Drosophila melanogaster: one gene and its partner. The protein of the gene in region 2 purifies or fractionates together with the protein of the main gene of each other region. This does not show direct contact. Each region holds a gene or a part of one and is shown on either strand. Other genes may lie near its edges.

Region 1 (5,880 bases), 5.5 Mb from region 2:
TAAAGTAATAGAATTTATGTTTCATATTGCGTCATATTTGAATATATTTTTCAGATGAAAGGGCTTAGGTGTTCCATCGTCAAATTAATAATTTAAAAACTGGCGTAAGTGCCTGCCGCGGCAGACAAAACCCAAATTATCCCAGCGTTCGCATTAAACTCAACGACAGTTTATGTATCTAACTTTGTTCCCAAAGTTTCTAACTACGCTTACAAGCTGATCTGCATGCAAATGCGATGTGTTTACATATAATATAATGTTTATATTAATATACATATATATATCCCAAAATTGCCCGCCCCAAAAGTTTACAAGCGACCAACTATTAACTATTTCTTTGTGATGAAAAACTATTATCCAAAGCAAATGCTGATTATTGCCATTTTTCTGTCCGCAGAGCGTCAAACCCAATCGGAATCCTAGATGCTTTTCAGTGGCCACTCGAGAATGATTCGCAACAACTAAGATCCGCCGAAGCTGCAATGTTGTAAAATCATGAAAAATAAATAAAATTAAATAAATGTAATTTATTTAAACACGATGATTTTAATTGTTCTTAAATGTGGCATTTATTTGGGCGTTCCGTTTAGAGATCGCGACCGATGAAACGGACTTCTAGCAAAGATTTAAATATAGACTCAATAGAATATTGTAATTTTGAAAAGAACTATTGGTCAGGTTCACCAGAAGCCTTTTAATTGGGATCAGTGATAGGTTTCTTGCTATAATTTTGTCAACGCATATTTGTATAGAATGATTTTATACACATAATGCTGAACCAATTGAATTGTTACTTATATTTTGCGCTTTAAATATACACATATAGACATTATTTATGTTAATTATTATCCAGTTAGTTTATATTTTAATTTAAATATATATATATATATATTTTTAAGGTAGAGTATTTTGGATTATCCTTCAAAAATTATCGATTTGCTACCACTAAGACCGATTAAATTGCTACCGAAGTGCTATTTCAATTGCAGCATGTTGATTTGTGTGTTGATGATGTCGTGTACTTGCGTTTCCTATGTCATCGGGTGCGATCCTTCAATGGTTGGCGAGATTGCATTTCCCATCTTAGATCATAAGTCCTTTAGAATGGCACTCTTTGCGTTTTTCAACTTATCGAGGCGTTTCAACAAATGGTTGTTGGACGTTTCAGCTTCCTCCAACTTCTCCAAGAGTTCCCGGTGCTGCGAAATGGATTAGCTAGATCATAAACTGCTCATTTCGCTTGGCATTCCCACCACTCACCTCGCGTTGCAGCTTGCGGCGCTCCAGCTTCAGCTCAGCCTCCGCCTTTTCGGCAGCTTCTGCGGTGCTTTTGTATCGGATTACTTGAGTTTCGGAGCGCGCTAGGCTCGACTGTAGGTTGGCGATTTCCTGTTCCGCCTTTTGCAGCTTATATTTATGGTCTGAAATGATTTTGTTTGTTTCCCCTGTCGGATAGTATAAGAAAAAGGAAGGGCTCGTAATATAGTACAAATATGTTGCAGTCCTATAGTGCCAAACTGCAATAGTTATATACAATTTATTGTTTTAAAAAACTGAAGATATATGGAGATACACAAAAGTGCGAGAGAATGTGGCCGATCAATGCGATCGGAAATATAAATGATATATATATATATATATATTGCTTGAAGCCATGTTATCAAATAATAAAAACTACAAATAATACGATTTGAATATCGTTCAAATTTGAGCAAGACTCGGTTAGTTATTGTGTGCTGCCAAAAAGGGCTGCTAGTTATAAAAAAGATAATCACTGCGGTGCACTTTACATGCTGAAAGTTTAGTTGGCATTAAGTAAGTATGGTACACGTACGTTGGGCCTCGTAATCATTCTCATCGCCGAAGGAACCTTGCGAAAGACTGCGGCGTCCGGAAATTCCATCACTTTTATACTCGTCAAGTTGTTCGTGAAGCTTCTGCACCTCCGCCAGCAGCCGCTGCTTCTCGTCACTGAACTTTTTAAGTCTAACGTCTGCAAAGAACTCGAACTGTTGTTAAATGATCTCATCCAGGTGCAAATGGGGGATAATCACCTAAAGAACCCTGCACGGAGGCCAGCACCTTGGCATTCTCGACACTCACTAGAGCTCGCTTGGCATCGCTGCCATCGGCATTTTCAACTGCTACAATTAGAAGGCCCTGTTCGGCGATCAACGAGTCGCGCTCGTTTAACTGCCCTTGTACTAGCTTAAGCTCGAGATTGGCGCGATCCAGGTTGCGTTTGAGGGCATTGCAGTCACGCATCTTCTCCTTGAACTCGCGCTGTAGTTGTGCATACGACTCTTCCATTATTTCGCATTTGTCCTTCAGTAGCTTGACTTCGTAGGCCTGCGAGGCGCGATCGTTGTCCAACTGGGCGTTCGTTATCATGGCTTTGCGAAACCGCTCCTCAACATCCTGAAAGCAGAACCACTTAAATCACATCGAAGTGATGGCTGCGATGTCAGCACCCACCTTAAGCTCGTGCTTGAAGTCGCGAAAACTTCTGCCCTCCTCCTCCACGGAGTCCTCACTGCTGCGGCGGGATGCTGATGCACGGGTCACGTTTAACAGTCCGCCGTAGGCGAGGCGCACGGGATGCGCCGACAGAGTTTCGCTGCCCACTGCCGTGGAGTTTTGCATGTCGAAGACCCGGTCGGCGGTGATCTCCTGCTCTTTCTGCTGCCGCTCCAGCTCCCTCATGCGAATCTCGCGGGCTTCGGCGCGCGCCTGTCGACGCGCAGCAAGTCGCGCTTCCGCCTGAAAAGAAGGGAATCAGTTTCATTTAAATCAACTAATTGATAGAGTTTCAATTATGCGACCCTTTGCGGCTGTAATTCTCTTGTGTTAACCGAGCACGTACAAATCGCAGTTGATAGTAACAATTTTAATATTTACATTGAATGCTATGTTTTGGGATGTAAAATACACACCTCTTTCGTAATTTGATCCAGCGCATTGTCTTCGGCATTGATTCGCATGTTGTTCCGTCGCCGACCTGTGGTGCTGATACTTTCCATTGAATCTGTGCTCAATTTAACTATATTTTATATATTAATCGCAAGCGATCGCACGCTAAAAAGAAGCAACTTGTTAGTTTCAAGTCTATAAGAATGCACTAAGAATTCAGTTTCGATTTGAACCCATTGAAAGTGATAACAAGGATCATATTGCGATAATTCCAAAGAAAAGTCCATTGAATTCAGCCACTAACTTATAAATAAATATAATAATTGCAGAGACAGCATTTCTGGTGCTGCTCTTTCGGTGTCCAGCTCGTTGAAACCTCCTATATTGGTAAACATTTTGGAATGTCCTAATTGATGATCGTGTGTGGTATGATAATGGATACCTTATCATCGGAACGCACTTTGTTATCTAGCAGAGCTGACTCACTTATATAAAAACCGGTGAATATATAGTCCCATTGTCACCAAGCAAGCGAACATGCAGATAAAATGCGTATCAGATGATGAAAATAAAGTAAACTTTTTTTTTGCATTGCGCTGCATAATGGTTTTTTCTTTTTTAACTTTTACAAATTCCCCATCGACACTTGGCAATTTGGTGGCACAGATGCAAGAAAACTAGTTTATCTCCTGTTTATAAATAGGATGTATCCGTCCGTCGTTCCCGGTGAATATGTTTTTATCCACTATTTATATTTGTAAAACAAAAAAAAACCGTCTGCATTGCAGTTTTAATTTTAATGGGAGCGGCGTTACACACATCTGTTTTCCCAAGTTTTCACGCACGTATCTTTCGGGGACTGTGTGTAGCACACATCAAAGAGTTTAGGTTGCGGCCCCACTAGACTATAGGTATTTACACAAAGGTGACAAAATCTATAAATTAATTAAACACACATACACATAAAAAGTTTTAAGAGACACCTTAAGCGAAAGAACAATCACAATTAATCATAATAGAGGTGGTCGATAAGTCGATCTATCGATAAAAATCATAAGTGCTATGTGAACCCGATGCGATTTTTCCACCGCACACAGCTGACATTTATCTAAGCAATGCTCTCAAATGTGCCATAAAAAGCCTGCCATACATACCGACATCTACAATTTTAGAGGTGATTTTAAAATGCACACACAATACAATTTGTCTGTTGCATAGTTTAACTGTCAAATGAGAAAATCTTTTAAATGCCAGTGGGAAAAACGACATCCTAGAAGTGACTGTGAGGCGTGACATCACCAGCTGTTATCGTTATCGATAGGCGACGTGTGCACACTACTTGCCATCCATGTGGCATCGTTGTGTTGTTGTTATTAATCAGCGGAGCAACAGAAGTCACAATTTGGAAACATGTCCGAGCTAAATATGGAGCTGAAAAAACTCAGGGAGCTGGTAAGCGAATAGCTGTTACTTTACGCCAACATTTTGACATGACATGCCGGCTTTAAAGGAACTGAAGACCCAAGGCCTTGCCGCCAGAATACAAACTGCCAAAAGCGGTGAACAGTTGGACGTCGATCTTGTTCAGCTTCAAATTGAAAATAAGAAGCTGAAGAACCGCCTGTTTATCCTAAAGAAGGTGAGTTTATGACCCCCAATGTGTTTAAGCTTAAGAATTTCATGTCTTTTATTTCCCTGTTAGTCCATTGCTGAGGAATCAACTGCCGCCGGCGGCGACGTTTCGAAGCCCAAGGAATCCTCTTCGATCACCGAACACCTGGAAAGCGTCTTTCGCCAGGCGATTGCATCAGCTTTCCCGGAATTCAGAGATACGCCTGTTATAATTGCACCAGTTAATAGTACGTCTGCGAAATTCGGCGACTATCAGTGCAACAATGCCATGGGATTGTCCAAGAAGCTGAAAGAGAAGGGCATTAATAAAGCACCACGTGATATTGCAACCGAGTTGAAAGGACACTGCCCAGCATCACCAATCATTGAAAAGCTGGAAATTGCCGGAGCTGGCTTCGTAAACGTGTTCCTTAGCAAGTGAGTGGCATAAGTACACAAAGTCCATTATAAACATTAAAAATGTTAATTTTTGCAGAGATTATGCATCTTTAGCCTTAAGCAATCTATTGCGTAACGGTGTCAAGCCGCCAGAAGTGATCAAAAAGCGAGTCCTGGTCGACTTTTCATCGCCCAACATTGCCAAACAGATGCATGTCGGTCACTTGCGGTCCACGATCATTGGCGAGTCGTTATGCCGCTTGCTGGAGTTCCTGCAGCACGATGTGATCCGCATCAACCACCTGGGTGACTGGGGAACACAGTTTGGCATGCTGATTGCCCATTTGGAAGATCGTTTCCCCAACTACCTAAATGAAAGCCCTCCGATCAGTGATCTGCAATTGTTCTACAAGGAATCCAAGAAGCGGTAAGACTTGTAACATTACGAAGTAATTACGATGTGCTCGAGGTAAATAATACTTCCTTGCAGATTCGATGAAGATGAGGAGTTCAAAAAACGTGCCTACAGTCGAGTGGTTTCATTGCAGAAAGGTGTGCCGAACTCCATTAAGGCGTGGGAGCTAATTTGCAATGTGTCGCGAAAGGAGTTCCAAACGATCTACGAACGATTAGATATTAGCGTCAAGGAACGGGGGGAATCGTTCTACCAATCACGTATGCTGTCCGTTGTGGAATACTTGCGAGGCAAGGGTCTGCTGGAAGTGGATGAAGGACGCGAGATCATGTGGCCAGACGATACGAAAACTGGCATACCTCTGACAATCGTGAAATCGGATGGCGGCTTTACCTATGATACCTCTGACATGGCAGCCATTCGCCATCGCTTGGAGGAGGAGCTTTGCGATTGGATCATCTATGTGGTCGACTCCGGCCAAAGCACGCATTTTAATACCATATTCAAAGCTGCCGAACGATCTGCTATCCTAAATCCACTCAGCC
Region 2 (7,598 bases):
AGTAGGTTGCCCCACACTTTCGGGCACTTTTAAATTAAAAACAAAGCCGCGGGCCAGCCGGTTGATGTATTTGAGCTACATCTGTATGTACTTATTCCGTTAAGTGAATTAAATGAACTGCGCGAACGCGGATTTTTTTATTTTCCAATGCTTTTTCCCAAATTTATTTTACTTGATTTCGGATTGAGGACGAACGATGCTGCCCAGCGCAATAGCAATTTTGTTCACTTGTCTTCCTCTTCCTGCTTCGTCCAGTGCAGCAACAACACCAACACCCCCAGCAGCAGCAGCAACGGAGAGTCATGGCAAAGAGGCGAAAGCGAGTGTGCGAGTAACGGTCACGCGGCTGCGCGTGCGTTTGTATATCTATTGATTAAAAGTTCGCTCTGCTCTGGCCACTGCTTCCCCTTCTCCATCACCATCCCCATCCTCTTCTTATCCTTATTCCTTTTGGCAGTTCTCTCGTAATTGCTGCGCCCACTTTCCGCCGCCCCGCCCACATCGCTTCCGTCGCCGCCACCCAGCCCCGCAGACGCGCACACACCAACTGCAAAGTGCGTTTGCGTTTGTACAACGGCAAATGCAACAATAACACACGCACGCATACATCCACACAATAACGGAATAAATGAAATTCGCCAACAATTTGGCGTTCGAGCAAGTGACGAACGACGCCAAATGAAAACACTCCCTTTTTCGGGGGTACACAATTTTCCACAACAAACAAAGCCTAGTGCCGAGTGTATCGGCAAAAAATTCGAAATTATTACTTTTTGCTGCACTATTTTCAGTTGGCATTAATTCAATCAAGTTGTCGTATTTCTGGCGTATCTATTAAATTTCATTCGGGTTTGTATTGTTTTTGAGGCTAGGTTTGATTTTATGTTTTTGCAATATCGGTGCAAAGGCAACAAAACACACGAGCGAGGACCTTCACATTCCGAAGACTGGGCAAAGTATGAAAATTTCGTGTCGTTCAATTTGGTCACACCCTCTGGATTATGCTCACGATACGATGTTACTGTTTTTTCGCAGGACGAAAAGGACCCTTCGAAAAACCCGAACCCCATCCAATGTGACCGTTTTGAGCAAACTAACATAGTCCGAAGCGTTCGGCTCTCACAGATCAGCAAAAAGGAATTTATTATATTTAAGTCTTAAGGCACACATCAAATGTATAGTTAATCAAATTTAGTTTATACAAATTATATGTGTATTTCAATTTCTTTAAATAAATAATAAATAAATCAAAAACAAAAACCTTGGTTTCAATCACTTACTCCGTTAGTTTTCAACGTATTATTTGTAAGTCCATAGGACCATTTGAAACTAACGGCTCTGTTTTCAAAAAGAATCAAAAACTCCAAAACTTAAGTCGCTTTTAGCTCGGTTCCGGGAATTCAAAATAATTTTTAAATTAGCCACACCATTTTTAGACATTAACGGTCACACTCGACTTAAGCTCGTATAATACAGTGGTGGACGTACCGTTAAAAGCCATGCAAAATTAATATTTAAAGGCGAGAAACTCTATTTTGGTCACAAATGTAATTATTGCCGTATATGAACCAAATTTTTTAAGCCCACAAAGCTCCCCTTCTATATGATAAATCAGCTGCACCAAACCTACGAAGTGCAACGCGAGTGTGCCTTCTGTGATTTCCAACACTTTAGTGTTGCCTAACCCTCGTAAAATGCGCAGTGTGGCCAGTTCCGGCAACTGCATACGAAGGTGCGACCATGCCGTTTGCTCGGGTGAGCGGTGAACGGTCACCACTTAGTCTTCTTTTTTTTAGTGCAAAAAAAAAACAAAATAAAGAAGAAGAAACGAAAAACAGGGCCAGCAGCTTGAGCCCAAATATAAAACAAATATAACATTTTATGTGGTCAAAATGAGCGTGCTGCCGTTTGTGCGCGGTGTGGACTTTACGAAAAATGATTTCAGCGTGAGTACAACCAGCAAAAACAGTTGCAGCCTTGTTGTTTTTTCGGAGTGGTTCAGGTTCTAAAAAAAAAAGAAGCTAAGAAACAGGTCACCGAGAAGCACCTGAGCATTAGTCATAAGTGCGGAGCAGAGATAATCCCGAAATATGATTGATTCCATTGCAGGCAACATTCCCCAGCTCCATGCGGCAGATGTCGCGGGTGCAGTGGCTCACACTGGATCGCACGCAGCTGGCGGAGATTCCCGAGGAGCTAGGCCACCTACAGAAGCTGGAGCACCTGTCGCTGAACCACAACCGACTGGAGAAGATCTTTGGCGAGCTGACAGAGCTGTCCTGCCTGCGATCCCTCGACCTGCGGCACAATCAGCTGAAGAACAGCGGCATACCGCCGGAGCTGTTTCACCTGGAGGAGCTGACCACGCTGGACCTGTCGCACAACAAACTGAAGGAGGTGCCCGAGGGTTTGGAGCGGGCCAAGAACCTGATAGTCCTCAACCTGAGCAACAATCAGATCGAGAGCATACCCACGCCGCTGTTCATCCATCTAACGGATCTGCTGTTCCTGGATCTGTCGCACAATAGACTGGAGACACTGCCGCCGCAGACGCGACGTCTGATTAATCTGAAAACCCTGGACCTATCGCACAATCCGCTGGAGCTGTTTCAACTGCGGCAATTGCCCTCGCTGCAGAGCTTGGAGGTCCTGAAGATGAGCGGCACGCAGCGCACGCTCCTCAATTTTCCCACTAGCATAGACAGTTTGGCCAATCTCTGCGAACTGGACCTGTCGCACAATTCGCTGCCCAAGCTGCCAGACTGCGTCTACAATGTGGTCACTTTGGTGCGACTGAATCTGAGCGACAACGAGCTAACCGAACTGACTGCCGGTGTAGAGCTTTGGCAGCGTCTGGAGTCGCTGAATCTGTCGCGGAATCAATTGGTTGCGCTGCCGGCTGCCCTCTGCAAACTACCAAAGCTGCGACGATTGCTGGTGAACGACAATAAGCTAAACTTCGAGGGCATCCCCTCGGGCATCGGCAAACTCGGAGCTCTGGAGGTGTTTTCGGCAGCCAACAACCTGCTGGAAATGGTGCCAGAGGGACTCTGCCGATGCGGTGCTTTGAAGCAGCTCAACTTGAGCTGCAATCGGCTTATAACCCTGCCCGATGCCATTCACCTGCTGGAGGGCCTAGACCAGTTGGACTTGCGCAACAATCCGGAGCTAGTGATGCCGCCCAAGCCAAGCGAAGCGAGTAAAGCCACCAGTCTTGAGTTCTACAACATAGATTTTAGTCTGCAGACTCAGCTTCGGTTAGCTGGGGCTGCTGTGCCGCCTTCCATGCCATCGTCAGCAACGCCCAAGGATTCAACGGCGAGGAAAATACGTTTACGACGCGGTCCTCGCAGTGAAGGCGATCAGGATGCTGCCAAGGTGCTCAAGGGCATGAAGGATGTGGCAAAGGATAAGGATAACGAGGCGGGTGCTGTGCCCGAGGACGGAAAGCCAGAGTCGCTCAAACCTAAGAGATGGGACGAGTCACTGGAAAAACCGCAACTGGACTACTCCAAGTTCTTTGAGAAGGACGATGGCCAGCTGCCGGGCTTGACCATTTGGGAAATCGAGAACTTCCTGCCCAACAAAATTGAGGAGGTGGTGCATGGCAAATTCTACGAGGGCGACTGCTACATAGTCCTCAAGACCAAGTTCGATGACCTGGGCCTGCTCGATTGGGAAATATTCTTTTGGATAGGCAACGAAGCCACGCTGGACAAACGAGCTTGCGCTGCCATTCATGCAGTGAACCTAAGAAACTTTCTGGGCGCCCGATGTCGAACGGTTCGCGAGGAGCAGGGCGATGAATCCGAGCAGTTTCTGTCCCTCTTCGAGACGGAAGTCATCTACATCGAGGGCGGACGCACAGCTACTGGTTTCTATACCATAGAAGAGATGATACACATCACCAGATTGTATTTAGTGCACGCCTATGGCGCTACCATTCATCTGGAGCCAGTGGCTCCTGCCATTACCTCCCTGGATCCCCGCCACGCCTTTGTCTTGGATCTGGGCACCCATATTTACATTTGGATGGGCGAAAGATCGAAGAACACGCTGAACTCCAAGGCCAGGTTAATGGCGGAAAAGATCAGCAAAACGGAGCGCAAGAACAAATGTGAAATCCAGTTGGAGCGGCAGGGCGAGGAGAGTGCCGAATTCTGGCAAGGACTGGGCATGACCTCGGAGGAGGCAGACGCCGCAGAGCCACCAAAGGAGCACGTTCCAGAGGACTATCAGCCGGTGCAGCCTCGCCTCTACCAGGTGCAACTTGGCATGGGTTATCTGGAGTTGCCGCAAGTGGAGTTACCTGAGCAAAAACTTTGCCATACCTTGCTAAATAGCAAGCACGTCTACATACTCGACTGTTACACCGATCTGTTCGTTTGGTTTGGCAAGAAGTCGACGCGTTTGGTCCGAGCGGCCGCTGTCAAGTTGAGTCGGGAGCTCTTTAACATGATGGATCGTCCGGATTATGCGCTGGTGATGCGTGTACCCGAGGGCAATGAAATGCAGATCTTCCGAACCAAGTTCGCTGGCTGGGATGAGGTAATGGCCGTGGACTTCACGAGAACGGCGAAGTCGGTGGCCAAGACAGGGGCTAATCTCACACAGTGGGCTCGGCAGCAGGAGACGCGCACGGATCTTGCCGCGCTATTTATGCCCCGACAGTCGGCCATGCCATTGGCGGAGGCGGAACAGTTGGAGGAGGAGTGGAACTACGATCTGGAGATGATGGAGGCCTTTGTACTGGAGAACAAGAAGTTCGTCCGGCTGCCCGAGGAGGAATTGGGTCGCTTTTACACCGGCGAATGCTATGTGTTCCTCTGCCGCTATTGCATTCCCATCGAGGAGCCCGAGAATGGCTCCGAAGATGGTGCTAACCCAGCCGCAGACGTCAGTAAATCCAGCGCCAACAATCAGCCAGAGGACGAGATCCAGTGCGTCGTTTACTTTTGGCAGGGACGCAATGCCGGCAATATGGGATGGCTCACGTTTACCTTTACACTGCAGAAGAAGTTCAAGGCGATGTTCGGCGAGGAGCTGGAGGTGGTGCGGATCTTCCAGCAGCAGGAGAACCTCAAGTTCATGTCCCACTTCAAGCGGAAGTTCATCATCCACACCGGCAAGCGGAAGGACAAGGCGCACACCGCGAAGGGCAAGTCGCCAGTTGAGTTCTTTCACCTGCGATCGAACGGCGGTGCGCTCACCACTCGCCTTATCCAAATTAATCCGGATGCAGTGCATCTCAACTCAACCTTCTGGTGAGCAAATTACCAATAATTTATTACTGTGGGTGGTAATAATCACCCAGTTTTTTTTTTTGAGATGTATGACAAGTGCGATTTTATTGGATCAACATTCTTGTCTTATCGTTGGTTGAAACTGAAATTCCTGGAAGCCTACGTGATATGACACAGTATTATTTATATATATCCAAAAGATAGCGAACATAGTAGTAGTCGCTCCAATATTTATATTCCATACGCATTATTTCAGCTACATACTCCATGTGCCATTTGAAACGGAGGACGATTCGCAGTCGGGGATTGTGTACGTGTGGATAGGCAGCAAGGCCTGCAACGAAGAGGCCAAACTGGTGCAGGATATTGCCGAGCAGATGTTCAACTCGCCGTGGGTGAGCTTACAGGTGGGTTCCATGTGTTAATGTGGTTCAACCATGTAGTGGGCTGTTTTGTGGAATATATTGTACATATGTTTATATTAAGGTACACGCTCTTGTTAATCGTTTCTTTTCATCCATCCTTTGCAGATTCTCAACGAGGGCGACGAGCCGGAGAACTTCTTCTGGGTGGCGCTGGGCGGCCGCAAGCCTTACGATACGGACGCCGAGTACATGAACTACACGCGGCTGTTCCGGTGCTCCAACGAGCGCGGCTACTACACGGTGGCCGAGAAGTGCGCCGACTTTTGCCAGGACGATCTGGCCGACGACGATATCATGATCCTGGACAACGGCGAGCACGTCTTCCTGTGGATGGGACCGCGTTGCAGCGAGGTGGAGGTGAAGCTGGCCTACAAGTCCGCCCAGGTCTACATCCAGCACATGCGGATCAAGCAGCCGGAGCGGCCGAGGAAGCTCTTCCTCACGATGAAGAACAAGGAGTCGCGCCGTTTCACCAAGTGCTTCCACGGCTGGAGCGCCTTCAAGGTGTATTTATAATTTTAGCCAACTGAAGGAGCATCGTCGAGTAGTTCTTTTAAATTTCCCTAATTCATGCACCGCCGCTATGTGGCCATTTAGGTCTCCGCAAGGAAAGCGCCTAAAAGGCGCTAGTTTTTGTCTTGCTTGTCTCGATTGGCGCCTTCGAGTCCCTGTCAGAGCTAGTGAATCGGCCTCGGGAAGTGCATTTATTAACCAGAAGTCGAAGAGCACGCCTGCAATGTGAGTTTAGTTTTATGAAATGAATAGAGGCACCTTAGAGGTGTTACCCACTAATCTTAGCCCGTTAGAGGAGCCCCATCGAGTTGTAAATTGGTCATTAAGCATTAAGTTAGACCTCTGTTAGCCGGATGCGAATGTTGTTCGCTGGGAAGATGCGCTGGGCAGCTGCCGTGACAGAGTAGCTGCCCCAGAAGACATGACAAAGCAAAATTGTATCGAGGGAAAAAGAATGAAAGGGCCAAGCCAAGCCCTTCCTTCAGGTCGTGAGTGAAGATCGTGTGTTTGTACTTTTATAAAATGTATTTAATTGTTTTGTATAATTAATTTAAATTTTTTTATTAGCTCACTTGCTCCCGCCCCTAACTAAATAATTAGCTAACTCCAAGAACGCCAAGTATTCGCCCACTCCCTGCGAGAAAACCACATGAGTATATTGAATGCAAATATACATACATATGTATGTATATCACATATGCCTACAAATACGCAATATATATATATATATATATATATACATACGCTGAGCTGAGAGGATTACTCCCCTGTGCTAGTCCTTTTAAAATGTTAACCTACTTAAAGCTAGCCTGTAATAAAGTCAAGGAAGCACTAAAACTAATTGTACAAATGCCCACGTATTTATTTTATTTTTATTAATCCCCTGAATAAACATTAGAAAAATTGAAATTCCTCTATTCGTGTCGCGGATTGAAGGAGGTATTGGAATAGATTTAATTAAGTTATGTGCTAATTTTTCGGCAAAAGATACATATAACATATCAGAATAGCACATATCAGCACATTATTGTTAGTTCGCTGCTATTATATTGGCCTCAGCTGTATCTGCGGTTAGCGAGTGCACCCACCGCAGTTAGCACGTGCCAGCACCTTATTTGGCGAATTCGCCACCATGTGTATCGATATGTCGATGGCAGGCGCTATCGATTTTGATGGATGTTCTCAAAGCGTGTTCGGCGCGGTCACACTGGTGGTTTATTTTATTCCGAAAACTATTTGTAATTTAACTCAAATTAAGTGAAAACAGCATGCCAGATGCCGAGCAACTACCGGACGGCTGGGAGAAGCGCACTAGCCGCTCCACAGGTAAGCATCGTGTGCAGTCCCGCTCGTGCCATGCCGGCGGTTTTCCGGCGGAATGCGGAACCGGCACGCTAAACTGAACCTGCACTTGATT

Evidence for each region.
Region 1: the proteins of fliI (region 2) and CG8578 purify together in Drosophila melanogaster (affinity purification with mass spectrometry, with the first as the bait; 2 studies listed by BioGRID). This does not show direct contact.

The regions. Positions count from the first base shown.
Region 1 is NC_004354.4:15,842,522-15,848,401, reverse strand, and holds CG8578 (uncharacterized protein), read right to left. Parts: upstream 3,927-5,880; 5' UTR 3,871-3,926; intron 3,766-3,870; exon of another isoform or gene 3,730-3,765; intron 3,076-3,729; 5' UTR 3,021-3,075; coding exon 2,934-3,020; intron 2,761-2,933; coding exon 2,476-2,760; intron 2,419-2,475; coding exon 2,055-2,418; intron 1,994-2,054; coding exon 1,835-1,993; intron 1,446-1,834; coding exon 1,261-1,445; intron 1,200-1,260; coding exon 1,089-1,199; 3' UTR 544-1,088; downstream 1-543. Other genes in the region: sun (stunted), read left to right, coding at 398-423; ArgRS (Arginyl-tRNA synthetase), read left to right, coding at 4,321-4,362, 4,421-4,549, 4,613-4,959, 5,018-5,347, 5,411-5,880.
Region 2 is NC_004354.4:21,338,002-21,345,599, forward strand, and holds fliI (flightless I), read left to right. Parts: upstream 1-1,739; 5' UTR 1,740-1,892; coding exon 1,893-1,946; intron 1,947-2,109; coding exon 2,110-5,264; intron 5,265-5,499; coding exon 5,500-5,650; intron 5,651-5,773; coding exon 5,774-6,184; 3' UTR 6,185-7,087; downstream 7,088-7,598. Other genes in the region: dod (dodo), read left to right, coding at 7,450-7,507. UniProt on the Drosophila melanogaster protein: May play a key role in embryonic cellularization by interacting with both the cytoskeleton and other cellular components. Alternatively, it may play a structural role in indirect flight muscle. Vital for embryonic development.